Saccharomyces cerevisiae S288C: one gene and its partners. Changing the gene in region 1 together with any one later gene gives a genetic interaction. Each region holds a gene or a part of one and is shown in the gene's direction. Other genes may lie near its edges.

Region 1 (3,816 bases):
TTACACTACCATTCAATTGTCTCTCTTTAAAGATTGATCGACATTATTTTCTTTACTTTTTTGGTGTTTTCGCGCTAAAAGTGGCGTGCTAAATGCCAAGTATTATTCTAAAAAATCATTACGCCATACACAAATATTGAAGACTATCTATCTAACTTAACACCAACTTGCTTTATTAAAGAGTCAATATCCTTCAAAGACTTAGTGAAATACAATTCATCGTCAATATAAGGTTCTTCACCGTCGCTATTGTTCAAGTTTTGTATTGATTTTAAGTAATCCTGCGTACACAGGATACTCACTTTACTGTCCGTCGTGGATAGTTCATTCCACTGCCTAATACTTAAATGGTTTTTCTTGTGTCTTTTATACGTTCTAATTGAATCATAGTTATTCTTTCGCAATACAAAGGCTATTGAACATATAGTCTTACATTGGGAACAAAATATATCGTATTCCTCATCTTCATCGTTTGGATCAGTATGCACCTCCAAAAGAGTTGTCCGTGGTACAATGGCCTGAATTTTCCGTATGCGTTTTAATTCAGTATTATAAAAGACGATCAATGAAGAGTAACATTGCCTAACAAAAGCATCATTGAACAATAGAGTATCTTTATTGTACTTGTCCAAAACATTGATCATTAAATCAAACATATCAAAAACACATGCTTTCTGAGTTAATTTATAATCCGTAATCGCACCAAATCCATATGGTAGCCAGAAATCTATAGTAAAATTGACAGCTTCATTAAAATTATAACCTGTATTAAAACCAGCATGGTAACATTTAGGAAACGTGATAATATATTCGTTGGGCTTTTGCACAGCTTTGTACACAGGAATACCTGATTTCTTGAAATTTGGATCGTACGGAGATATTAAAGTCACTAGCTGATGCAGTAGGTCTGGTTGTTTGATAAATAAGTCTGGTGACATATCATTTAATAGATCGTTGAATTTCGTACATCCCGATTCGGGAATGCTGTACCAGACCTTAGGGTCACCTTCATGTTGATAGTTAGCACTTAGGGTATACTGATCTTCCATATGCCAACAAAATGTGGAAAATAAGGAGCCTATGTAAATCCAAGGAATAGTCATGCCAGAAATATTTCTTTTAAATAACGGTAATAGCGAATTATGAGCCATAGGCAAGTTAGTTAAATTCATAGGATGATCGCAATATTTGAGGTAGTCTATCAATTCGTCCCCATTTATATTTTTGGGTATAAATTCTCTCGTCGGAAAGCCGGTAATTTGACCTGGCAATTCGTTATGTATGTCAGCACCGTATTTAACTGTCGTTAATGAACTGCGACGATTCTTGGTCACTAAGCTCCAAAACATCTCTTCCAACTCATCTATAGACAGTTTTCGTGCTGGTAATAACCTTGAATTTTGACGTTTACAATATTCTTGAAACTCTGGTAGAGAATAGTCATGCGTGTCCTGAGTGAATCCGTAATATCCGTTTCCGACGATACAAGTGTTACAAATCCAATCGCCAGAGGGAACACGTTCCAAAGGTGGTGATAAACAATATATATGGAATGGTTTGTCACATGAATCACATAAAATTGTTCTTTTTGGATCATTTGTCTTGCGACAAACAATACAAGCATCATCATCGTCCTCCTCAAAATCCGACCCAGAATTCGAATCTGGCCCAAGATCGAAATCGTCCTCGTCATCACTTAATAAGGATTTTGGATACTGGTCAGCATGCAGCGCCGTGTGCACGTTCTCGTTCAGTGAATGAAGAAATATGTAGTATGAGGCAATATATTTCTCAAAAATTTCCTTTAACAAGCCGATTGGTACGTTGAATTTTTTAGAAATGGTCCTCCATAGACTGATGTCGCCTCTTAATTGGGAAATATCTCTAAATTTCAATTTTCGCCTGAATGACTGTGTAGTGTCAGTAAGTGTCCGATTGTCTTTTATTAGTTCAGAGAAAACGTCATAAAAGTACACTTTTTTTTTTAGTATTTCCGATGCATGAGTAGAATCTGAATATTCTACAATCGTATAAGGTTCCCTAAGTATAAGTTTCGATGGATCCTTAACGGATCTTTTAAAATTATTTAACTGTTTCATAAAAAATAGCCTACACCTATTTTTCAGGTCTAGGTTCTCCAGATTTTGAATTCTTGGTTGAAAAGTAAAATTTTCCATATCAATAGAAAGTGGCGGGCAGAACCCGTTTGGTGGTACGACCTTGACCATACCATATCGTACACCAAGCCTTTTAATGTGGGGGTTAGAGAGATAATCGATCGGATTTTTGAATTCTTGTTCCGTTGGATACAGGGCAGGAATTTCCTCCATGATAGTGATACGTTTTTTGTGCAAGATGAGATTAGTTAATATGATCTAGAGGTAAAATTGACTAAGTAGTCAGATCTTATTCTACATTGAGCCTGCGTTGTCAACATGCACATCTCTGTCTCTTGGGATGATAATTTTTCAATGATGATTCCAGGGTTACTTTAACGTTACACAAAAGAAATTAATTAGTGCGGCTGTTTCTGTGAGCGGGGCAGTAAGTCCGAAGCCCTTGATATTAGCCCATACCCTACACATTTTACTCGTTTGCCCTACATCAGATAAAATACTGGCCCTAAGCCCTCCTAATCTCTTCTGGTTACACCTAGGGTAAAATATCTGCCTTTCTTTGCATTCAATGCGTTACTTCTATATCACGAGATGAGCATACGGATCGTGTATAATACTAAAAAGAAAGCTCCTGAAAGAGTTGTGACAAGCAAGACTGTATACTACTCCTTCTACGAAAGTTAGTTCGAGTTCTTGATGGCACTTGGCTATTCTATTTCTTGAACCTTTGAGAAAGAACAGAAGTAAAAGGCTGTGTATTCTGCTACATGAAATACAGTAGTAGTCACAGTACAAAAATACTCTAAACCAGTAATAAAGCCACATATATATGTATTTCCTTTCACGTGATGCGCTGGGATGTTATCATCTTATACGCAATTAGCCGCCCATATGCCACCCGGCGCACCGGGTCGCACACACACCCCCGTGATTCGCGATATATAGCGGCCAATCAACGGCGACCTCCAAGCGCGTGCCGGGTGGGCCCCTCGCCGGCCAAGCAGCGCAAGGATATTCCCATCTTCGAGCTCTTAGATACAACGCTTATAAAGAACGCACTTTTTGCATTAACCTCTTTTTTGTATTACAGAACAAACATTTTAACTTGCCCTTTTTTAAACTTTCTTTATCTCTCCAGGACAGGCCAATTGGATAAATTTTGCAAAGATCAAACAGTAACACAAATTTTAGCAACCTAAACCCCCCTCATAAACGAAGACAAAAGTGCTCCTCCTCAAGTCAAATTTGTCTTTCTTTTCTTTCATTTTTTAGTCTGTTGTTATCCAATTTATACTGAATCTTTGAGAGAAAACAAAAATAAAAAAAAGAATGGTTTTGCCAAGACTATATACTGCTACATCCCGTGCTGCTTTTAAAGCAGCCAAACAATCCGCTCCGCTTCTATCCACTTCGTGGAAAAGATGTATGGCCTCAGCTGCTCAATCTACTCCAATCACCGGTAAAGTTACCGCTGTCATTGGTGCCATTGTTGACGTTCATTTTGAACAATCAGAGTTGCCCGCTATTTTGAACGCTTTAGAAATTAAAACACCTCAAGGTAAGTTGGTTTTGGAAGTTGCTCAACATTTGGGTGAAAACACTGTCAGAACCATTGCTATGGATGGTACCGAAGGTTTGGTCCGTGGTGAAAAGGTTCTTGACACTGGTGGCCCTATCTCCGTCCCAGTTGGGAGAGAAA
Region 2 (8,551 bases), on another chromosome or scaffold:
TAAGTATCATTCGAACAGTTGCAATATTCTCAACACCTGTGGTATCATTAGGCTAATGGACTATTTGTTACGTTCTGTTTGTTTTCTCATTTTATGATGAAAATCCATTGTATCCCAATACATATTCGACTAGTCATTGACGATGCTGTCGTAACTTATCACCATCTTTCGACTGATTATAAGAAAAGAAATAGAAAGTAAAATAGACCAGAGAGTTAAGGTATTAAGGTTACAATTATTGCCGTGTTTCCAGTGTCAGAAAAACCATTGAGTGATAATGCCGTGTAACAATTTTTAGCATAAAATACTGTGTTTTCCATCTGGTATTTTTTTACTAACATCAATTTACTGTTTTTTACTTTTTATTTTCATTTAGGCTAACAAGGAAAAGAGAGCCATTATTTTGGAAAGAAACGCCGCTTACCAAAAGGAATACGAAACTGCTGAAAGAAACATCATTCAAGCTAAGCGTGATGCCAAGGCTGCTGGTTCCTACTACGTCGAAGCTCAACACAAGTTGGTCTTCGTTGTCAGAATCAAGGGTATTAACAAGATCCCACCTAAGCCAAGAAAGGTTCTACAATTGCTAAGATTGACAAGAATCAACTCTGGTACATTCGTCAAAGTTACCAAGGCTACTTTGGAACTATTGAAGTTGATTGAACCATACGTTGCTTACGGTTACCCATCGTACTCTACTATTAGACAATTGGTCTACAAGAGAGGTTTCGGTAAGATCAACAAGCAAAGAGTTCCATTGTCCGACAATGCTATCATCGAAGCCAACTTGGGTAAGTATGGTATCTTGTCCATTGACGATTTGATTCACGAAATCATCACTGTTGGTCCACACTTCAAGCAAGCTAACAACTTTTTGTGGCCATTCAAGTTGTCCAACCCATCTGGTGGTTGGGGTGTCCCAAGAAAGTTCAAGCACTTTATCCAAGGTGGTTCTTTCGGTAACCGTGAAGAATTCATCAACAAATTGGTTAAGTCCATGAACTAAACTGGTTGAAGTCACATTACATATAACTACTTATTTTATCTAAGTCCTATATAGTTCTGTTATTCACTAGTTTGTATATTGTACCTCTAATTTATCTTATAATTTCGTCAGTAATGACTTATAATTGGCTTTATTTTCTTCTCTTTTTTTTCACATGCGCAGAACCTATATAACGAAAAAAAAAAAAATGAAAACTGAAGATAAGCGGCCTTGACTTCTCTAAACTGCCGATATTTCAACGAAAGTTAGCCAACTTATTTATAAAAGCCTTGAATACCAACAATTGGAAAGAAGGTGTCTGTGCTTATCATATATAGCTTGCATAAAGAAAAATTATAATATCTTCGAACTTCCATAGAAAGAATATCTTTCAGTGTTAACTGGCTCATTTACTCAGAAATTAGTATTTTGAAGAACGATGAGTATTCGGAATGATAATGCTTCCGGTGGCTATATGCAGCCGGATCAATCTTCGAACGCTTCTATGCACAAAAGAGACTTAAGAGTTGAGGAGGAAATAAAGCCATTGGATGATATGGATAGCAAGGGTGCTGTAGCAGCAGATGGTGAAGTTCATCTAAGAAAGTCATTTTCGTTGTGGTCAATTCTTGGTGTTGGATTCGGTTTGACTAATTCCTGGTTCGGTATTTCTACATCGATGGTTGCAGGTATATCTTCTGGTGGACCCATGATGATTGTTTACGGTATAATTATTGTTGCCCTGATTTCTATTTGCATTGGTACCTCGTTGGGTGAATTATCTTCCGCATATCCGCACGCCGGTGGTCAGTTTTGGTGGTCTTTGAAGCTTGCCCCTCCTAAGTACAAAAGATTTGCGGCCTACATGTGCGGTTCATTTGCTTACGCAGGATCCGTGTTCACAAGTGCTTCAACTACGTTATCCGTTGCTACCGAAGTGGTTGGTATGTACGCTCTGACGCACCCTGAATTCATCCCAAAGAGATGGCATATATTCGTTTGCTTTGAATTGTTGCATTTGTTCTTGATGTTTTTCAACTGTTACGGTAAATCCTTACCTATCATTTCATCTTCCTCTCTATACATTTCCCTACTATCCTTTTTCACAATTACAATTACTGTATTGGCATGTTCTCATGGAAAGTTCAACGATGCAAAGTTTGTTTTTGCCACATTTAATAATGAAACAGGTTGGAAGAACGGCGGTATCGCCTTTATTGTCGGTTTGATTAACCCAGCTTGGTCATTTTCGTGCCTTGACTGTGCAACCCATATGGCGTTTGAAGTTGAAAAACCAGAAAGAGTTATTCCCATTGCTATCATGGGAACAGTCGCCATTGGGTTTGTCACTTCCTTTTGTTATGTTATCGCTATGTTCTTCTCTATACAAGATCTGGACGCTGTCTTGTCTTCTACAACAGGCGCCCCAATCTTGGACATTTATAATCAGGCATTGGGTAATAAATCAGGTGCGATTTTCCTGGGTTGCTTGATTCTATTTACCTCTTTTGGTTGCGTCATTGCTTGTCACACTTGGCAGGCAAGGTTATGTTGGTCATTTGCCAGGGACAATGGTCTTCCATTATCCCGTTTATGGTCGCAAGTTAACCCACACACTGGTGTACCTTTGAACGCTCATTTAATGTCATGCGCTTGGATAACCCTCATTGGCCTACTTTATTTGGCTTCCAGTACGGCTTTTCAGTCCTTAATTACAGGTTGTATTGCATTTTTATTGTTATCCTACATCATTCCGGTTATATGTTTACTTGCTAAAAAGCGTAACATAGCTCATGGTCCATTCTGGCTTGGAAAATTTGGATTTTTTTCAAACATTGTTCTTTTGGGTTGGACTGTCTTTTCTGTGGTCTTTTTTTCCTTTCCACCAGTTTTACCTGTGACAAAGGATAACATGAACTATGTTTGTGTAGTTATTGTTGGTTATACTGCGTATTCGATTCTTTACTGGAAATACAAGGGTAAGAAGGAATTCCACGCTTTAGAAGAATCTGAGAACGAACAGGCTGAATATAGTAATAACTTCGATACCATTGAAGATAGTCGAGAATTTTCCGTTGCGGCCTCTGACGTTGAACTCGAAAATGAACACGTACCGTGGGGAAAGAAGTGAATTTATAGTGTTGATCAGTCGACCGTTATTTATTTTAAGTATATTATTTGCATAGAAGTAATAAAAGTGAATTTTTTTTAATGGTTTGTTAAGCCATTTTAGACGAGGGACTAAGATATTTCAACCTAAATATCCCTCAGGCTTTGCGCTCTTGAAAGCGATGTGACTGTAATTCAAATTTCTTGAAATATTTTTGCGGGAAAAAGATGAAAAATTTTTCACCTCATCGCATAAGAAGCAAATAAAAAAAAAATATTAATAATAGATAGGCAACAATATAGCAGCTCAGAGATATAGCTTAACTTCATTTTACAGCCTTTTAACGAAAGCATAAGTATTAACAGTTTGATATATAGGGGATTAAAATGACAAAGGAAGAAATCGCAGACAAGAAGAGAAAGGTTGTAGATGAGGAGGTAATTGAAAAAAAGAAGAGTAAGAAACACAAAAAGGATAAGAAAGACAAGAAGGAAAAGAAGGATAAAAAGCATAAAAAGCATAAGAAGGAGAAGAAGGGTGAGAAGGAAGTGGAAGTACCAGAGAAAGAATCTGAAAAGAAACCTGAACCTACTTCTGCAGTGGCTAGTGAGTTTTATGTTCAGAGTGAAGCACTAACCAGTCTTCCACAATCTGATATTGACGAATATTTCAAGGAAAATGAAATTGCTGTTGAGGATTCTCTGGATCTAGCCCTACGTCCGCTATTATCATTTGATTATCTTTCTTTAGACTCTTCCATTCAAGCAGAAATTTCCAAATTTCCAAAACCAACGCCTATTCAAGCCGTAGCCTGGCCATATTTGTTATCTGGTAAAGATGTTGTTGGTGTTGCTGAGACCGGTTCTGGTAAAACATTTGCTTTCGGTGTTCCAGCTATCAGCCATTTAATGAACGATCAAAAGAAAAGGGGCATACAGGTTCTAGTCATTTCCCCAACTAGAGAACTTGCTTCCCAAATTTATGATAATCTGATTGTATTAACTGACAAGGTTGGTATGCAGTGTTGTTGTGTTTATGGTGGTGTTCCAAAGGATGAGCAAAGAATTCAGTTAAAAAAGTCACAAGTGGTGGTTGCTACACCTGGTAGATTATTAGACCTATTGCAGGAAGGATCTGTTGACTTATCTCAAGTTAATTACTTAGTATTAGACGAGGCAGACAGAATGTTGGAAAAAGGTTTTGAAGAAGACATCAAGAATATTATCAGAGAAACTGATGCGTCCAAAAGACAAACTCTAATGTTTACCGCTACCTGGCCAAAGGAAGTCCGTGAATTAGCTTCCACGTTCATGAACAACCCAATCAAAGTATCTATTGGTAACACGGACCAACTAACTGCTAACAAAAGAATTACACAGATTGTTGAAGTGGTGGACCCACGTGGAAAAGAAAGAAAGTTATTGGAACTGTTGAAAAAGTACCACTCTGGTCCAAAAAAGAATGAAAAGGTCTTGATTTTTGCTCTTTATAAGAAGGAAGCTGCTCGTGTTGAAAGGAATTTGAAATATAACGGGTATAACGTCGCAGCTATCCATGGTGATTTGTCCCAGCAACAAAGAACGCAAGCATTGAATGAGTTCAAAAGCGGGAAGTCTAACTTGTTACTGGCCACCGACGTTGCAGCAAGAGGTTTAGATATACCAAATGTTAAGACAGTTATTAATTTAACTTTCCCATTGACTGTGGAGGATTATGTCCATAGAATCGGTAGAACTGGTAGAGCTGGTCAAACAGGCACAGCACACACTCTGTTCACTGAACAAGAAAAGCATTTGGCTGGTGGACTGGTTAACGTTTTGAATGGTGCCAATCAACCTGTTCCTGAAGATTTGATAAAGTTCGGTACTCACACTAAGAAGAAGGAACATAGCGCTTATGGTTCATTCTTTAAGGACGTCGATTTGACTAAGAAACCAAAAAAAATTACTTTCGATTAGGGGTTTTTTCGTTTACTTCAATCTTGGATTTTCTTCTCTAATAATAGCCAATCGAGAGTCGGAGATTTATTAACAAAACACTGTATATTACTATTATAACTGCCCACTTTCATTTATCATTAATATTATTTAAATTGACTCTCACATAGTATACATATTTTCTAGAAAAAAAATACGATTCAGTATATCAGCAGTCATGGTCTTCATTCAATCTGCGCTCAAGAATTTTTTCTCTTGCCTGATTAAACTCTATGGGGAAATCGACACGCAAAGCAGCGTTTAAATAGTCGATGTTCTTTCTTGAAGTTTCTAAATCACGTTTTATTTTTTTTGAAGTAGCCTCACCATTTTCAAACTTCTCTTGCAGTTGAGTGAGCCTGCTCTTCATTTCATCAATATATTGTTTAAGCTCTAGGCTTTTCGAATTTATAACAGCGGAGGTTTTGGTCTGTAGAGAAAGTGCCTCTGAGAAATCAGCAGAATCAATAGATTGTTTTAGAGAATCAAAAATATATCTAGAAACGTCAAATATTGGACCAGGATCCTGGGCATCCGTGGGTAGCAAATTGCTTGACTGAGGGATATCGTTATCTAGGAACAAATCTTCGTCAACGTTAGATTCATTGTCCATTTCATTTTGCTCCACAACATCTGAAACGTTACTTCCATCACTATCGAAGCTACCACTTGAGTTGCTAGTGGTGCTGATCGAATCATGGAAAGAGCTGGACATTTCCTCTGTTATAGGAATCGCGTAGGATTGAGAATTAATACTGGGTGTTGAAGAATGAACAGCCGAAAAAGTCTCTTCATCATCATTTTCCTCCGATATTCCGGTCACCATTGTTCTTCACTAAGTGTTGGTAACCATTATTTTGCCTCTCTTATTATTTTACTATAATATAGCTGCGACTTTTCAGTGAAAAACGTTCTTTTTTAACTTTTTGAATGGCTGAATATAATCAGTAATACAAAGGAGATGAGAGGGAAATTGTCTTGGATATAAAAGAAATATTTGAATAAAGACATAATAATTATTTAGGTTATTTAGAATATGTCATCTTATGTAGTTTGGTTCAATACTAACTACTAAATAAAATGAAACTCATAGAGATAATGGTTCTATAGCATGCATATATGAAAAGGAGAAGAGGTAAAAATGAGAGAATATGCATGAACATATCCATCCTCTTAATCCTTGCTTGTTCTTTTTTATGTTTCCATCTAGTCACCTACTTCAGGTTCTTAGACTGCTCGTTTTACTGTTTACCAGTTTTTTCTTTCTCTTTCCATTCCTTATCTAGAGCTTTCTTCTCCTCATCTGTTGTGAAATACGTGTATTTGAGAAACCTATAGCCTTGAGCTAATTGCGCAGTTTCATTAATAAGGTGGCATCCAAACAGTAAGTAGTTTTTGGGTGATACTGAAAGAGCATACTTCATGAAAACACCTGAATAGGTAACTAAAGCAAAAGTCATTGGGCCAGAGATTAGTGTAGGGTCTTTTTTCAGATCATATATAGCAGCAATTGGGATACCGAAATTTGATACGGGACCCCAGAAGTGTGTTGTGAAAATATATTTCAAAGTTTCTTTATTGATGTATTTTTGAAGGAATGAGCGTGCTGCAGCGCGTTGAACCGGTTGAGACATTCTTTTTGATCACAGTGCAATAAAATCTATACGTATATATGTAGATGTATTGACGTTTGCTGATTGGCAAGTGAGTGTTTAAATAGATTATCGGTGGAGAAAGGTGGAGACCGCAGGTTGTAGTGGCTATTCCTTCTTTGCCAGAAAGCACTTGTCATTTCGCCTCGGTTAAAGCGGGGGGCCGTCGCAAAAGAGAACTTTACAGGCCACGTCCAGAGCAAAAAACTCCACTTATTTGACTAGCCATGAAGCTATAATACCACCCAGCAATATAGAACTGGGTTATAAAATTATATTTAATTCGATAGTAGGCGGTCAAAAATCAAGATTACTATTAGTAGTAACCACATACTATTGGAGTGCTGAGGGGTAATAATTTTCTTGTTTTTCGAGAAGCAAGTAAGCGTCTTCTTTATCTTCGTCCTGCCCTTTATTCTTTTTACTCTAATAATTTCAAGTTCTATTTCTCCTTCCTCATCATCCCCTTCTTCTTTTTCTTCTTCTTCTTCTTTTTCTTCTGTGGTGTCTGTGTCAGTGCAAACTTCGATTTCTTCTTCGAAAGAACTCGTTTCATGTATTTTTCTATCAAAGTTACTGCAGATCTTCTGGTCTTGCTTGCTGCCTCTTTTTCTCAACGAAAGGATAGAAAACCTACCACCTCGAGTCAATATGGTGTTCGTTTCATGACACTCATCTGCAACTTCCGTTTGCGTACTCGCTTCCGACAATCCGTACCAACTTGAATCGCTATCTTCTGTGGATGTTGCAGAATGAATAGGGAAAGATGACACTGTATTATTCTTTCCAAATGTTACATTTGTAATAGTGCACTTTACGATTTCCCTTGCTTCATCGAAATACTCAAGTTCAATTCGGAAAATTAACTTGGCGGCTAAATGATGGTTGTCGCGAAAAGGATGATTATCAATTGCAATCAAACCAAAAGCATCACCATTTTTCAAATCAATTTCATCATTTGGCCCATCAGACACTAAGTTTACTGTACCAGTCTTGTTATTCAAATCCCGAATGCAGATGCGGAGTTGTTCTATAGAGGGAACTCCTTCAATTTTGGGTATTGGTGTCTTTATACATAGGACAGCATGCTGTCTGCTTAGTTCTGGCTCATCAAAATATAGATTGTACGGCTTACATAGACTATTTTGATCAAATGAACTCGAACGGCCAATGGTTTTACACAAACCTTGTGTTGTTTCCGTATCTTCTATAGCGAAAACAAAAGTTCTTATATCACCCATGATTTCCCCAGTTCCTTCCCTCAGTTTCAACTTTATGCAACTGCCTAGTGATTATTTTTTTTTCAAGTAATTTGTAAAACTCAATACTATGAGCCACTTTGATTGCTTTAGTATTCTGTGAAGATATCCCAAAAATGTTAATTTCCGCTGTAGTGCATTATTCGGGGCTTCTTGAGCCGTTTTGTTTGGACAAATTTAGGAGAAGGAATCTGTAAAAAAAAATAAATCATTGGTATTATCAGGTTATATATCACAAATAGGCCAGTTGAACGCCATGAAGGAGTAAAATATACATTTACAAAATTAAAAAGTGGTAGAGTTAAAAATAAGCGCTAGCGTGGTGACACCCACAAAAAAAATAATTCTATAAGAAAGATACAAAAGACGAAAAAGAAATCATGGTTTCACATAATTACACAGTTTTTTTTCAACTTGTCTCTTTTCTTTTCTTTATTACTCCCATTAAAGGGAAGGAACTTGTTTTTCTTTGAATTTTTTTCAGGTCTTTCAAACCTTTCCCTTTGATGATTTCTACCGTTATTAGCATAACCATTTTGCATGTTATTTGCCGCACGCATATCTTCTTG
Region 3 (8,048 bases), on another chromosome or scaffold:
TCAAGAAGAGGCCACGCTCCCAACTTGAGGTGATTAGAGAGAAAAAATTTACTGACATGCAAGTTCCCAAGGGACCAGTTTGTCCTCAAAGCACGATTCTACCATTACGAGAAAGAAAGAAGGTAAAATCACTACCAATTCAAAGAAAAAGTTTACGTAGGCCGACGCTGTCAAAGCCTGCAGTAGTACAATCTTTAGGGCATAAGACACATTCGGATCATATTATTGATAAAGTGTTTGTCTCTCGCCCGGCCCCAATTGTAATGCCTGTAAAAGCCCTTACTCCTATTAATCCGGTCTCCCTAATGCAAACACAGACACAAGATTGCTGTAGAAAAAATAAGTATGGCAAAAGCGGTAGTGAAATATTGTTTGACGAAATTCTATCAGCCTATGAAAACGTTTCTACAAGCGATTCTACTGCCCTAAATTCAGAAATTGACAGAATTATCGATATATGCGCTTCAAAACAAATAGCTAAAAAAAATGAGGCATTTCAGGTACCATATGTCGTCTGCCCTGACGACACAGAGACTTTGTTTTCGTCAACAACACCAAAGTTGAAACCTGTCAATTCTAACACATTAAACGATGTCATTTCTAGCCCAGAATACACCACGTCTGGATGCAGTACATACTCTGACCAATCGAATTCAGATGAGGAATTGTCCGAAGTAGAAAGTATAGTATGGAACACGAATAAGAGGACAATGAGATCATCCATTGTGTCTGAAAGCACTAGTGAGGAAGGCTATTGCACTGCTGCGGAGACTTTGCCCTCAACAGTATCAGTGGAAGATCTGGATATACATAACAAGCTTCCAAAAGTTGCACAAACATCATCGTGCAATACGCTTTTGAATAAACTCTCTATAAGAAAATTAAAAAAAGTAATTCTCGATCCGCCTAAAATAATGCATGTCATGACTTTTGACGATGACAGTGATGATGGAGATGACAACGATGACGAGGATAGGGCTTTGAATATTCTTCAAAAAAAAATTGACTGCATTGAAATAGCAAGTTGCAGCAGTAGCATTTACAGCGAATAAAAAAATTTATTCTAGGTTTCAAGTAAAATCATACGTATATAAGTAGAATAATGGCATGAGCGGTGACACATTGTGTATTTGCACCAGAGGTGGTCATCAATAGAAAAGTGTCACAATTTCAACGATAAATGGCCGCTTATGTCGCACCTTTTGTAGTATTACCCGCAAAGGATCATAATGAAGAACTACTATGGCTACATATAAACAGAGCAGTTAGATACAGTGCGTCTTATAAGGGCATTTTTGAGCATAAAGCACAACAGGTTGAACTCAAGAAAACTACATTTCACTATCAATGGCACCCACACAATTGGATATAAAAGTCAAGGCCTTGAAGAGGCTGACTAAGGAGGAAGGGTACTACCAACAAGAACTGAAAGATCAGGAAGCACATGTGGCAAAACTTAAAGAAGACAAGTCAGTTGACCCATATGACTTGAAGAAACAGGAGGAGGTCCTTGATGACACAAAAAGATTATTACCTACTTTATATGAGAAGATTAGAGAATTTAAAGAGGATTTAGAACAATTTCTAAAAACTTACCAGGGTACCGAAGATGTCAGTGATGCAAGATCCGCTATTACGTCTGCACAGGAATTACTCGATTCTAAATAATCTATAGATAACCTTTTTCTTACCTTTTCGCATTTATTTTGATGCAGGTTTTTATACTTTATTATGTACAAACCTGTTGCGGATGAATAATAAATCTCGCTAGAAAATGCACGGAATATTATATGCAAAAGTAGAAAAGTGGAAGACGGCTGTTGATACAGTGACGAGATATAAGAACATTTTACTCTATATTTAAAAAGAACTTTATTAATCTATTTAATTGAGTTAACACCTTTAATGCCATCGATATGGATTCTCGAGTTGCACTGGTACGAAAATACATAGCACCATCGGTGATAAAAAGCGATTCTATTCAATTGCACGGTTTAGTGAAGGCACCACTATTTAAAGCGTTGAATAGCCGTTACAAATTAGGTTCACTACAGATAGTACAGGATGTCGATTGGAATGCGAAGACAACACCATCCGATTCTCCAGAGCCTCTGGCCGCTACTCTAAACTCTAATCGATCCCTACCAATGACTAAGTTCCCCAAGCAGGAGATCTTGGAACAGGTAAAATTGGATACTAAGGTTGGCAAATGGAGGAAATTCATGACAGGTTGGTTTAGAATTGGATTGTATCTTTTAAAAAGCTATAAAACAGGAATTCAGAACACGTTAAAAGTATTCTGGGATACTCGAAACGAAGAGCAGAAATTCAGCATAAAAAACGGTGCATTGGCTAACTTAGTACGGGAAATAGAAATGCATGAAATCAATACAAGACTATCGTCTTCATCATTGCCTACAAGTTCTTCAGCAAAAGCCCCATTAAGGCCACTTTCAATCAATAGGAAAACACTGGTGGAACTGATCAGACGAGATCAAATCTGGAAATTACCTGTATTTTTCACCTTAGTATTCATATTTGAGGAGGTAAGTGTATTGATCTTTACCTTTTTTCCACGTGTCTGTCCGTACAATTGTTTAACTCCTGGTGGATACAAGAAGCTTTCCAACTCATATATCAAGGGAACAACAAGCACACAAGGTAACTACGGTCTGGGTCCCTTAGAGTTTACTAAGCAAGGTACAATTAAGTATGAGCCACCATATGCAGTTCCTATTGAGAATTTGTATAATTTTCTGACAAGCTTTCCTCAAAGTATGATATCAAACTGGAAACTGTATATTTATAAAAAGTTAAAATTACAGAAGCTACTTTGCAATGAGATAGAAAAAATTTACCAGTATCTGTTTATCGATGACTGGTTGCTGTTGCAGAGTATACTCAACACTGATGTTGAGAAAACTAAAATCGCGCTAAGTGATAGAGAATTGGTTAACTGTATACTTGAAAGAAAACTTTATCACATGGGCGATGACTTGAATGAGATGGTTAATGACACGTTAGGGAAAGAAATCTTACTGAAAAGATTGTTTCTTTATTGGACATTAAGATATAATGACACTATATCCTTAAACGGAAAGCATACATTCAGTGAGAAATGGGGTGTCAACAATATATCATTGTTAAAATATAATTCAGAATTGGTAGCTACGAAAGATATTCAATAGATGTAAATATTCATGACATTATCTATGCTGTACATATTGTTTAAAACAAAAACTCTTTTAAACTTTTCTAATTGCAAATTCAAACAATAATTCAGTGATGTTTCTTGCTTTTGGAGCAAAGGGCAATGTTACTCTATATTGTATGTATAATATGATAGATACTCTTCCGTATATATAGTATATAGATTTTCGTCAAGCGTTTCAATTGGAAAGTGAAAGAAAAAAATAAGAAAAAATAGAAAATACAATTAAATTAATCGAAAAAAGAAGTGAAAATAATTGAGTAGTTCGTATTAAACCTTGTAGGTCTCTAAGTGAGCATTTTCCTCCCTAACCAATGTATGGTGATGGCCAGGCGCTCTAATAACTTTATTTTTTGAATCCATGGTACAGGCAGCAATGGCGGCAAACCATTCATCATTAAAAATATCATCTAAGGTTGCTCTTTTCTTTGGATCTACTTGCAGTATACGGGACATGATAGGTCTTGAAGCATGTGGTAGTAGACGTAATAGACGGTATGGGCCATGAATAATTTTTTTATGGTGAGGTCCTCTGTGCTGTTGACTCGATTTATTATCGGAAGCGATACTATGGGCCTTGTCTTGATTTTGATGCTGGTGATGATGGTGTTGTTGTTGTTGTTGTTGTTGTTGTTGTTGTTGTTGTTGTTGTTGTTGTTGTTGTTGTTGTGGATTGTTTTGGGGAACCATATCAGGGTTAGCGTTGGCAGCAGTGTTGACGTTAGTATCAACTTTAGCGTTACAATCCGATTCATTGCTGCAGTCATTGTTAGCATTACAATCCGTTTTGTCATTGCAGTCACTGTTAGCCTTGCAATCCACTCTGCCGTTAGAGTCACCATTAGCATCGCAATCAGCGTCGGCATCGGCATCTACTTTCTTTGGGTTAGCTGAAACTACCGTGCTTTTATTCTCATTTTTGCTTATTTTAATATCGATGGTACTTTCCTTGTCATTATCTGGCGTGCTTTCTTTATCATTATTGCTATCATCTTCTTTATTTTCTTCGGTTTCTTCTTCCACAATGTCTGGTTTGTTATCGCTTTTACCCTGTATAGATGCTGGAGTATTTGGAACTTGATTTTGAACTGTTTTCAAGTTTGATTCATGAGCTGGTTGTTGCTGATTGATGGCGGAACAGTCACTGTGATTCAAAAACCTTTGACGCTTTTCTTTTCTTTCCTTCAGTAACTCTTCGTGATGCCTGGCAGATTCAACATAGTCGTGTTCTATATCATCCGGCATACAATATAATCTAAAATTATCGTCAGAATCTCTAGGGGCTTTCCATGGAAACCTTTTAAGCACCATACAACAATATATGATCCCAATAGACCATATATCGACGCACTGAGGATCATAAGATTTGGTGGAGGTAATCACTTCCGGCGCTAAGTAAGGGTCACTACCCACGATTCCATGAGCCATCGTTACGCCATCTTCAAAAGGATATCTGAACACAACAGCACTACCAAAATCAATTAATTTCAAAATACCCTGGGAAGTCATGACACAATTATCCAATTTCAAATCTCTATGTGCCAATCCCATAGAATGTAAATATTTAACACCTTCAGTCAATTGCTTCAAGCAACAGTTGATCTCGCCACGAGACATCTTGCCTGTCATAACAACAGCAAAAAAATCAATCGGACAGTACTCCATAACTTCATAGTATTTATTTTGTTTAGAATCAGAGAAAACGTCAACAGTTTCGATAACATTTGGGTGATGTAAAGTCGAACCAATACAAAATTCTGCGGTGCACTTCTTGGCATATTCTTTCACACTCTCATTCGGTTTCCTTGGTCTGAATTCTTTGACGGCAAAAGTAGCACCATCAGTTGGTCTCACAAGAACTTTAACGGACCCACCGGCACCGGAACCCAATAACTTACCCAATTTCCCGTATTTTTGAGCCAGAATACAATCATCGTGATATATATTAATATTATTGGACAAAGATAGGATAGAATCGGTACTTGGCGGTATAGCAGACTGGGTATGAGCATAGTGGTCTGTAAAGCCATGAGGATGCTGGGCACGATAGTGATTATTTAAATTAACTGTAGAAGTTGATTTTGAAGGTGGGGGGGAATGGGTGCTATGTTTCTTGGAACGAAGTTGAGACATAGATAGTTTTTTATTTACAGAAGGTCTGAAAAACCTTTTCAATTCTGCCATGGAGTGGGTTTGTTTTGGAGAGGCGGGAGAAGTATAGTCATGGAGCCCATGAGAAATATTATGGTGGTGGTTTGTTTCATAGTTATTATTGTAGTTGTTTGTTGAGATACTGGTTGCATTAGAATGGCTATGGGTGTTGTTATTAAGGTTTGTTGTAGTATAATTTGTAGTGGTTGTGGTAGATTTCATGGAATCTGTAGATTTCTCGCTTCTTAGTGAGTCATTACTTTGTTTTCTACCAATGAAGTTTAAGAAAGATTTAGAACTTCTGATCAACTGTGGCGGGTTATTAGACGAATTTTCACGGTCATGATGATGGTCATTATGATGACCATGGAATGGGTTTCTCGACAATAGATTAGGCATCTTTATACGAGAAATAGTTCTACCGTATTATTATAATTATTAGTGTTATTATTTTTGTTTTCGATCAATTCTAGCGGAGCTACAATGTGGTAGTCAAACGCTGCTATTGTATTTAATTCCGGCTCGAGACCAGTCTGGAAAGTCGACGTATATCGTTACTACTATCCTTTTTTTATTATTCCTACTATTTCCTTATTGAAAAAGTGGAAAACTGTTAAATCTGGAAATTCTTCACGATTCTAGAAAAATAGGAGGTGAAGAAGATTTCTAAGCTTTTTGAAAAAAACGGGAAAAGGAAGAGGCCCAAAAAAGTGAAAAAAAACTGTGTGTGTGAAATGTAAACGAACTTTGCTCCCTCTAGGAAAAACTTCTTTAAGCGGTTGGGAACTGTCTTGGGCTTACTTGTTTGTAAACAGTTGTATGAATGATTCTATATGCTAATTCTCAGTTTGTCTCTCTTAAAGATTTGTCACTCTGAAATATATAGCCAAATAGAACTAGGCGAAGAAAAAGAAAAGGGGCGGCGACGACGTAGGGGTCAGGTAGAAGAGTTGGGCACTTATTGGCGATATAAAAGACAAAATACACTAATGCAAGAGTATGGTGAGCGAAAGGAAAATAAAGAAAGGCTACGTTATTGACGGATATATGAATCAAGACACAAGACTATTTTGTATAGTAAGCAGAACCGGCTTGTGTTTGTGATTCATGGATCAACGAGACGGTAGCGAATAAGCACCAACGGAAAAAAAGAAAACATACGCATACATGCACGTACAAGATAAAAAAAGCACAGGTGTGGTGGTAGTATTGGGATAACCAGGCACACGCTACTGCGAGATAGCAAAAGACCCTTCCCGTAAACCGCTCGGATAAACCGATTTTGTCCTTTAGCGTGACACGGATTATACGCGGGGATCCGGCGTCACAAGCCACGGCCCGTCCCGTCCGCGTGGTTTTTAATTCTGGCTCCGCGTAGTACATTTTGTAGCTTGCCTTTTTTCCGGCTTCTAGAAAACTGGAAAAACCATAAGAAAAAAATGGGAAGGGGAAAACAAAAACCATTCAGGTCTTGCGTGCCGAGAATTTTTTTTTTCTCTTTTTCGTTGTCAACTTTTGCAGTAGCAGCCGCTGGCGACCCGGACGGTAGCCATGGCAACGGTTAGCTAATGGTAGGTAAATAAAACGAGTAACGACGTTTTAGTATATCTTGGTAAACTACAATTAGATCTTAAAACGGTTCCTGAAAAAGTGCTTTCATCTACCATTGAATTTAATTCACTTCCCTTTATGGAATTTGCACTGGTTTTGTGCTGTGGGATGTGGGTGTTTTGAAATATTTTCAGCTTGCAAGTCGTGCATATTGCACTTGTTTCTTATTTTTGGCGAGTGTAAACGTAATAGGTAATCTTAGTATTGGGCCATCGTCGCCCAGATAGCCATTGATAAAGCAGCTAGGTTCGTCGTCCGGTTGTTGGTATACACCTGTGCGTGCGTAAGTGTAGAAAAAAATAGAAATGACTAACTGGCAGCAACAGCTTCCTTTAACAGATACACAGAAAAATGAACTCGATAAAAGTGTCCTCCGATATTTGAATTGGAATTACAAACAAACTGTACGACATGAGCATGCTCAAGATTACGAAAGTGTTCGACATGCAATTGTAACTCTATCAGGTTTTCTGTTGCAAGAATCAGTGGACCGGCAAGAATTCATCAGTAACAATGACACCAGTAACGAAAGTATGGTAGACATTGATGAATTACTGCTACCGAAGAAGTGGAACTCAATTGTTAGACTACAAAAAAAAATCATTGAATTGGAGCAGAATACAGAGACCCTTGTATCTCAGATTAAAGATTTGAACACTCAAGTGTCAGAACTAGCACAATTCAAACCTACCACCAGTAACGGCACCAGCGCACATAATGTTTTGAAATGGATACCGAGAAATCTACCAAGCTGTTTAATTAATGTTGAATCATCTGTCACTTCCGTCAAACTACATCCCAATTTGCCTATAGTGTTTGTGGCCACAGATCATGGCAAATTATACGCATTTGATTTATTTAACTACACCATCCCTCTGGCATCCTTGCAAAGTCATACCAAGGCAATTACCTCCATGGATGTTTTATTTACCAATTATACGAACTCCAGCAAGAAGAACTATTTGGTGATCGTTACCGCGTCTAAAGATTTGCAGATTCATGTTTTCAAGTGGGTCTCCGAGGAATGCAAGTTCCAACAAATTAGGTCTTTATTGGGCCATGAGCATATTGTCTC
Region 4 (8,642 bases), on another chromosome or scaffold:
TCCAACCGAAATATTTTTTTGTGACATGGTATAATCCATATGTATCGTGCTGAAATTTTTTCTTGGAGATTTTCATTTATTCTCCACCATTCTTTCTCGCCTCCCCTCCTCCTTTTCCTTCTAATAATAACTTAGTTCTTTTTCCTTCTTCATTAAAGAGACTAAGAAAAAAAAAACGTCAATAATACCCGGCACCTTAGTGTAATTAATAGTAATAATATTGAATTTAATTCTTTAATAATACCACCCCCTCAAGAAAATTAATATATAATACTAACTAACTCAAAAACACCTTTTTTTATATGTAACTGTAGAGATAAGAATAATACCGAACACCGTGAAGATTTCCCAGTGGAGAGCTATCAAGAATATCACCCAACCCAAGATATGAATATGAACGAGTCCATTTCCAAAGATGGTCAAGGCGAAGAAGAACAAAATAATTTTTCGTTTGGTGGTAAGCCCGGTTCCTATGATTCCAATTCAGATTCTGCTCAACGCAAAAAGTCTTTCAGTACTACAAAGCCGACCGAATATAACTTACCAAAAGAACAGCCCGAATCAACGTCCAAGAATTTGGAAACCAAGGCTAAAAACATTCTGTTACCTTGGAGGAAGAAGCATAATAAAGACTCGGAAACTCCACACGAAGACACTGAGGCGGACGCTAACCGCCGTGCCAACGTAACTTCTGATGTGAACCCTGTTTCTGCCGACACCAAGTCAAGTTCTGGCCCTAATGCTACTATTACTACCCATGGATACTCTTATGTCAAAACAACGACACCCGCTGCTACAAGTGAGCAATCCAAAGTGAAAACGTCACCTCCCACTAGCCATGAACATTCAAATATAAAGGCGTCCCCCACTGCGCATAGACATTCCAAAGGTGATGCAGGGCATCCAAGTATTGCAACCACTCATAACCACAGCACTTCCAAAGCTGCCACTTCTCCTGTTACTCACACGCATGGTCATTCCAGTGCTACCACTTCCCCTGTCACTCACACACATGGTCATGCCAGTGTGAAAACCACATCTCCTACCAATACTCATGAGCATTCTAAAGCGAATACTGGTCCATCAGCCACTGCAACTACACATGGACATATCAACGTCAAAACTACCCACCCTGTTAGCCATGGTCACTCTGGTTCAAGCACTGGTCCTAAATCCACCGCTGCTGCACAGGATCATTCCAGTACTAAAACTAACCCTTCAGTTACTCATGGACATACAAGTGTTAAAGATAACTCCTCAGCTACGAAGGGTTATTCGAACACTGATTCCAACTCAGATCGAGATGTCATACCTGGTAGTTTCCGGGGCATGACTGGTACTGATGTGAACCCTGTTGATCCTAGTGTTTACACAAGTACAGGCCCAAAGAGTAATGTTAGTTCCGGTATGAACGCTGTCGACCCTAGTGTCTACACGGACACAAGTTCGAAGTCTGCAGATCGTAGAAAGTACTCTGGCAACACTGCGACTGGTCCTCCTCAAGATACAATTAAAGAAATTGCACAGAACGTGAAGATGGATGAGAGCGAACAAACTGGATTGAAAAATGACCAAGTTTCTGGTTCTGATGCAATCCAACAGCAAACTATGGAACCTGAACCCAAAGCAGCAGTCGGGACAAGTGGTTTTGTAAGCCAGCAACCTTCTTATCATGATAGCAATAAAAACATTCAACACCCAGAAAAGAATAAGGTTGATAATAAAAATATATCAGAAAGAGCGGCTGAAAAATTTAACATTGAAAGAGATGACATTCTGGAATCCGCCGATGATTATCAACAGAAAAACATTAAATCCAAGACGGATTCTAATTGGGGTCCAATTGAATATAGTTCCAGCGCTGGTAAAAATAAGAATCTGCAGGATGTTGTTATACCTTCTAGTATGAAGGAGAAATTCGACAGCGGTACATCTGGATCTCAGAATATGCCTAAAGCGGGAACCGAATTAGGACATATGAAGTATAATGATAATGGTAGGGATAACTTGCAATATGTTGCCGGTTCACAAGCTGGTTCTCAAAATACGAACAACAATATTGACATGTCACCCCGTCATGAAGCAGAATGGTCCGGGCTTTCTAATGATGCCACCACCCGAAACAATGTTGTATCACCTGCTATGAAGGACGAAGATATGAATGAAGATTCTACTAAACCTCATCAATATGGGTTGGATTATTTGGATGATGTTGAAGACTACCACGAGAATGATATTGACGACTACTCAAATGCAAAGAAAAACGACTTGTATTCTAAGAAAGCGTACCAGGGAAAACCATCGGATTACAATTATGAGCAGAGAGAGAAAATCCCAGGTACTTTTGAACCTGATACGTTGTCAAAATCAGTGCAAAAACAAGATGAAGACCCGTTGTCTCCAAGGCAAACCACTAACCGTGCTGGTATGGAGACTGCAAGAGATGAGAGTCTTGGCAATTACGAATACTCGAATACTTCTGGTAACAAAAAATTATCTGATTTAAGCAAAAATAAATCAGGCCCAACTCCAACGCGTTCTAATTTTATTGACCAAATTGAGCCAAGAAGAGCAAAAACAACACAGGATATTGCATCCGATGCCAAGGATTTCACCAATAATCCGGAAACAGGTACTACTGGAAACGTAGATACAACCGGAAGGATGGGTGCAAAATCCAAGACCTTCAGCTCGAACCCTTTTGATGATAGTAAAAATACAGACACTCATCTCGAAAACGCTAATGTTGCTGCCTTTGATAATTCCAGATCTGGAGACACTACATACTCCAAATCAGGGGATGCTGAAACAGCTGCTTACGATAATATTAAAAATGCGGACCCTACATATGCCAAATCACAAGATATTACTGGAATGACTCACGATCAGGAACCATCATCAGAACAAAAGGCCAGTTACGGTTCTGGCGGCAATTCCCAAAATCAAGAATATTCTAGCGACGATAATATTGATGTCAATAAGAATGCGAAAGTTTTAGAGGAAGACGCACCGGGCTACAAGCGTGAAGTAGATTTGAAGAACAAACGTAGAACCGACCTTGGTGGTGCCGACGCCTCAAACGCTTATGCTGCCGAAGTTGGTAATTTCCCTAGTTTGATTGACCCACATGTCCCAACATACGGATTTAAAGACACCAACACCTCTAGTTCTCAAAAGCCATCTGAGGGCACCTACCCAGAAACCACTTCCTATTCAATTCATAATGAAACAACTTCTCAGGGAAGGAAAGTGTCGGTGGGTTCAATGGGTTCCGGAAAATCAAAACATCATCACAATCATCACCGTCACAGCAGACAGAATTCTTCAAAAGGGTCTGACTACGACTATAATAATTCTACTCATTCAGCCGAGCACACTCCAAGACATCATCAGTACGGTTCCGATGAGGGTGAGCAAGATTACCATGACGACGAGCAAGGTGAGGAACAGGCTGGTAAACAAAGTTTCATGGGTAGAGTGAGAAAAAGTATTTCTGGCGGTACTTTTGGATTTAGGAGTGAAATTTAAACACTTCTCGATTAACAAATTCCCAGTATTCTTTGAAATCTATTTTTCTTCCTCAATTGAATTTGAATAACTGTCTACGCGGACTCCTCCTATCTACAACTACAACAAATTTTAACCACTTTATTACCACTTTCCTCTTTCATTTATTTTTGTCTTTTATGTTGTCAATTTACTAGTATTTTTTTTTTTTTCATTTACGTTCAAGGTTTTTTATACTCATTTAACTTGTCTTAGGTTATTTATATATATACCTATATATTTATATATATATATATATATGTATGTATATATTATTATCACCAAATGAGAAATAATAGCTAATTTGATTTTTGATTATTTAAAATATTGGTTTGTTCTTTCTGCAAACATCTCGTTTGGTACGATATTAGTGAAAAACGATGTAATTATCAACACGTGCATTACCCAGCGTTATATTTTCATTACCCGGACGTGGTGTTTTTTGTTTTTTAATGTTTCTTAGACTTAAAGAGGAATGGAATGGTTATTTGGATTAAATCATAGAAAAGTACAATTAAGGTTACGGCAGGAGCCTCGAACCGGTAGTTTTACAGAAAATAGACCCATCTGGTGGCAACACTAAATCATTGAAATAATAGCAAACAATTGTTTCAAAACTCCTCCCATTTGGATCTCATCTCAATTGTTTTTTCCTTCTTAGTTAAAAGTTCACGAAATTAGGAAATCTAAGAATCAAAATATAATCCGCTGTTATTTCTGCGTGTAAAGGTTTATCTTCTACTTGTGTCATATTTCACAAATTATCACTTTGCTAAAACAAGGGACTGACTTCTTTCTTTATTTTTCGAGCATTTTTCAAAAAAGCAGGGTTTTTGAAAACAGGAACCTTAGTTGCCACATCTACGCTGAAAAATAACGCTTAAGGTTTCTCAATTAACAATGTCATTAGTGCATAATCAGACGAATTTAAACGAATCCAAATTTCTTATAGAAAGGGCATTTAGTTCTAGTTCAGAAACCGTTCCATTATCAAAGGAGGCAACATATCCCATGCCAACTGCATATAGTTTTTCCGCAGTTAGGAGCAACAGCGAGACTAACATTAAAAGAGAGAACCCGCAAGGTTTTGCAAAAGAACCTATTATGACTTCTATGCTTCATAATTTGACCATGTCCACGGGGAAAGGGAACGGGAATGACGTCAATTCTTTAGCCCCACATGATGTGGATGTTGGCCCCTACTGTCTTTTGCTGAGGAATTTGCCAAAAGACATTACACTAAGAGAGTGTTATTGTATATTTTCACTAGCAACTGGGGTGTCAAGTATAGAACTAAAAAGGGATGATAGAGAACCCTTTAATGACAATGAAAAAGTCGTTGTGGTCAAATTTGGATCCCTTTCTTTAGTAACCCATTATGCTAATATATTAAACTCGAAGTCTGAGATTTTTGGGCCTAGTTTCCCCTTTAGGTCTCACATTGACGTAGTAAATGAACAAACGCAGCTTCCAGTGAGTTTTCAAGAACATGTTTCATCTGGCACTACAAATAGTTCTCCAAAGAATTACCAATTGTCGTCCAGTGCGCAAAATGAAATTCAAAATCAAAGTTTTAATACTATATCATATGGAAAAACTAGTTCCTCTCCATTAGGGCCTTCAGCGGCCAAGCCAAGGCCTTCATTACTTTCAGAGAGATCCCTCCGTTTCTCATTCAATGACCCATTCGGATTGGAAACAATCTCTCAAAGAAAAGAATCCGTACCCTTTCTACGAAATAGCATCTCACAACATGATTTATCAAACGTAACCACCACACCAGTTCCAGCAGGAATGCCACCTCAGAAGGACGCTGGCAAGTCACTTTTGCTACTAGAAAAGGATGAAATAAATGAAAGTATTTGGAATGGTGATGAATTAGTTAATGATGTTGGTAATTCTTCATTTGGTGCATCTTTACAAGAGCCTCCGATGTCATCTACGCCTGTGATGGAGTGGAATGCTTCCTCAACTGCTAATATTCCTCTTTTTCAATTATCTAGCCAAGAAAATCATCAGTCTAATCTGTTGCCTCCATCCCACCATTCAATTAGCCAGGATGTTCCACATATTCAATCACAACCTAATCTGAACAATTCAGGAGTAATACATTCCGCGACTTCTCTACCGCATTATCACTTATTGAACCAAATTAATGCTTCAACTAAGACACAAAGTATTCAGCAGAGCGTTTCGAATGTTCCTTCCAATTTGGACCTGAATCTCCAAACGGAAAATGGCCACCCACAATCTTCTGCTCCTAACGGGTCTTCAATATTCAACAACCAAAAGGTGAATCAAGGCTTTTTAGTGAGTGAACAAGACACCAGTACAATATCACGACAGAAAGAATGTTCTTCTACAGCTTCTGCCTCTGCATTTTCGAAAAATAACGAAACAAATGTGGCAGGTTCCACAACTATTTCACAGGCTGACCTATCACTACTAGCCAAGGTGCCACCACCAGCCAATCCCGCGGACCAAAATCCTCCTTGTAATACTCTTTATGTGGGTAATCTACCTCCGGATGCCACGGAACAAGAATTAAGGCAATTGTTTTCTAATCAGCAAGGTTTTCGTAGATTATCCTTCAGGAATAAAATGAACTCTCACGGTCATGGCAACGGTCATGGCCATGGTCCAATTTGTTTTGTAGAATTTGAGGATGTTAGCTTTGCCACTAGAGCATTGGCAGAATTATATGGTAGTCAACTACCTCACCCCCGCCCTTCCCTCAACAACAAAGGAGGTATCAGGTTGAGCTTCTCTAAAAATCCATTAGGCGTTAGAGGCTCAAACAGTAGGAGTAAATCTGGTTACAGCTTTAATGGAAGTTACGGGAAATCATGATAGATTTAGTATTGCTTTATTAATTTTCTTTTGCTTTACTTTCTGACCTTCGTTTTTACTTTTTGGATTTTGCAGTTTTTTCATGCTCTACTTATTTAGTTTATGCCATATTTAAATTTATCCCTACAATTATTTGACACTGTTTGTATGTGTGTTCCCTTCTTGAAGGCTGTGCTGAGGAAACTTTGTAGTTGGTACATAAATTTTTGATCAAAAGTAAAAATACCCCCGTTCGGTAACTTATACATTTATTTATTTATTTATTTGCTCAGCTTTGGATTTTGTACAGATACAACTCAATCTCTACCCGATGCAATAGAGGCTAAATCAGTATACGTGTCATTTTTTTTAATTTGGCTCCTTGTGCTCTGTTGTAGAGAATTGATTGAAGATGATGAACCGTTTAGTTTATTCTGATTTATTAGTTTTTCCCTCAATTTCAATTCGTGTGCTTTTCTTTCTAATTCTTGAATTCTTTTTTGTAATTCTTTAGCTGACTGGGCCTCTAACTCTTCCAGTTTTTGTTGTCTTGCTAAAATTCTTTCATGTCTCAAGACATATGGAACGGTTTCTGAAATATTTCTTAACTTGGTACGCTCTGGTAAGTCCGGAGAGTTCAAGAATTTTGGTGAAGATTCTGTTTTGATAGATCTTATCAAATTTTCATTTTCTTGTTTTATTTCTCTACCCAACTGTCTCACGGGAGACATTTCCTGTTCATTTTCTGCTGAATCATGTTCGCCATTGTCTTCGTATTCGTTTTCCTTAAAGTTTCCACTTACTTGGTTTCTTGGTGTGTCCGCTCTCAAATTGTTTGCAAGAGTTTGAGAAGAATTGAATTGACCAGTGCTTATCAAAGAGGCAAAGTTGCTTAAACTTGGAGCATTTGACTGTCTCTTTGTAGAATTAGGACCAATTTCTTCAGCGTTGGCCACGGACGATAGTTTTTCGGAACGGTAATTCTCGTAAAGCAAATTTTGCGTGGTGTCTTTGAATTCTTGTAAGTGAGAACCAAACAGGACGTTTTTTAAAACTTTCAAATCCGAAATTTTGTCGTCGTCGATTGATATTATCCCCCACGGATACTCCCTAACGTATCTACCTTCACTATCTCTGGTATCTGAAGTTATAATAGCAAATGGTTGCAAGGATGCCAAGGCTTGATTCTCTTCCATGGATTCCAAATCATCATCTTCAGGGTCAACCTCAAATTTGTAAATTGGGACGTTGTATCTTTCCACATCAAACATAATATTTTTCCTGAATTGAGTTAGCTCCTCCTTGGTGAATGAGTCAGCTCTTGTTATTATTGGCAGTACATTTGTGTATTTGGAGATGCTTTTCATGAGCTCTACATCGACTTCTCTCAGACCGTGTCCAGTGGGTTCAATAAAATATAATGCTACGTGAACCCTGGTGTCCTCAAACCTCGGATTCCTTTTAATTCTGGTTTCCTCAGCTAAAACAATGTCAAATTGTTGTTCTAAATACGACATAACTTCCTCAGAACACAACGAATCGTCCAAGTTTTCGCCTATACCATGCGTCATAATCAAGTTGAAAAACACGGTATCATCCTCGTTCATTTCTGGCTTTCCTTGATCTTTGTTGCCCCCAAGTTCTAATGAAGTGGAGGTGATGGTAATACCTGGTTCCAAATTGGCTCTCATTGGATCGAATTCAGAAACATAAGATGGAATCCCATTTTTCGAATTAAATGAAACAACTTTTGTCGGAGCAATAACTTTTACTTCTGGGTTAGAGCTAATACTAGCATTTGATTTACCGTATTGATACTTATGCGGAAAGATCTTAGTTTCCAATAGATTGTTAGCAAAGGCGGTCTTTCCTGTACCTGCTGGCCCACATAGTAACATTGTGTATGTGATCCCACGTTTATGTTCTTTCTTTCTACGAAATAAGTTAATTGGCGGTGTTGAAGCAGTGCTCATGATTAATAATATATTTTTCTAGCAATTATAAGCAGATCTTTGGGGCTCTTGTTTTATTATTTCACTTGCTGGGTACATTGATCTTGCTCGAAAGCTTGTTATATTCTTTTCGCAGTTTGGCACTTTAAAAATCGCGCGGTTACCCGCAAGCAACGCCAGTTTTTGTCAAGAACCAAATTGCACAACTATATCAAGAATGAAAGCAGAAATATGGACGTGATTCTGAGTTTAAATGGTGCCAATTGAGCAATTTTATCGCGGATTATAGAGCATGTCAGATTGGAAAGTGGACCC

The links.
Region 2: mutations in DMO1 (region 1) and DBP3 together harm fitness more than expected from each alone (negative genetic interaction), as found in Saccharomyces cerevisiae (2 studies listed by BioGRID).
Region 3: mutations in DMO1 (region 1) and PNT1 together harm fitness more than expected from each alone (negative genetic interaction), as found in Saccharomyces cerevisiae (2 studies listed by BioGRID).
Region 4: mutations in DMO1 (region 1) and WHI4 together harm fitness more than expected from each alone (negative genetic interaction), as found in Saccharomyces cerevisiae (2 studies listed by BioGRID).

The regions. Positions count from the first base shown.
Region 1 is NC_001142.9:644,161-647,976, forward strand, and holds DMO1 (Dmo1p), read left to right. Parts: upstream 1-2,965; coding exon 2,966-3,316; downstream 3,317-3,816. Other genes in the region: JHD2 (histone demethylase), read right to left, coding at 144-2,330; ATP2 (F1F0 ATP synthase subunit beta), read left to right, coding at 3,447-3,816.
Region 2 is NC_001139.9:356,790-365,340, reverse strand, and holds DBP3 (RNA-dependent ATPase DBP3), read left to right. Parts: upstream 1-3,481; coding exon 3,482-5,053; downstream 5,054-8,551. Other genes in the region: 60S ribosomal protein uL30 RPL7A, read left to right, coding at 377-1,006; HNM1 (Hnm1p), read left to right, coding at 1,425-3,116; KXD1 (Kxd1p), read right to left, coding at 5,241-5,897; pyruvate transporter MPC1, read right to left, coding at 6,313-6,705; YGL081W (uncharacterized protein), read right to left, coding at 7,002-7,964; MIY3 (Miy3p), read right to left, coding at 8,369-8,551. UniProt on the Saccharomyces cerevisiae protein: ATP-dependent RNA helicase required for 60S ribosomal subunit synthesis. Involved in efficient pre-rRNA processing, predominantly at site A3, which is necessary for the normal formation of 25S and 5.8S rRNAs.
Region 3 is NC_001147.6:819,107-827,154, forward strand, and holds PNT1 (Pnt1p), read left to right. Parts: upstream 1-1,916; coding exon 1,917-3,188; downstream 3,189-8,048. Other genes in the region: DSE3 (Dse3p), read left to right, coding at 1-1,052; RBL2 (Rbl2p), read left to right, coding at 1,348-1,668; putative serine/threonine protein kinase HRK1, read right to left, coding at 3,482-5,761; YOR268C (uncharacterized protein), read right to left, coding at 6,428-6,826; PAC1 (Pac1p), read left to right, coding at 7,279-8,048. UniProt on the Saccharomyces cerevisiae protein: Probably involved in mitochondrial export. Confers resistance to the anti-pneumocystis carinii drug pentamidine. May act by the removal of pentamidine, or its damage targets, from the matrix by an active-transport mechanism.
Region 4 is NC_001136.10:52,151-60,792, reverse strand, and holds WHI4 (Whi4p), read left to right. Parts: upstream 1-4,446; coding exon 4,447-6,396; downstream 6,397-8,642. Other genes in the region: HBT1 (Hbt1p), read left to right, coding at 388-3,528; septin SHS1, read right to left, coding at 6,693-8,348; GTPase-activating protein GCS1, read left to right, coding at 8,620-8,642. UniProt on the Saccharomyces cerevisiae protein: Has a partially redundant function to WHI3, a dosage-dependent modulator of cell size.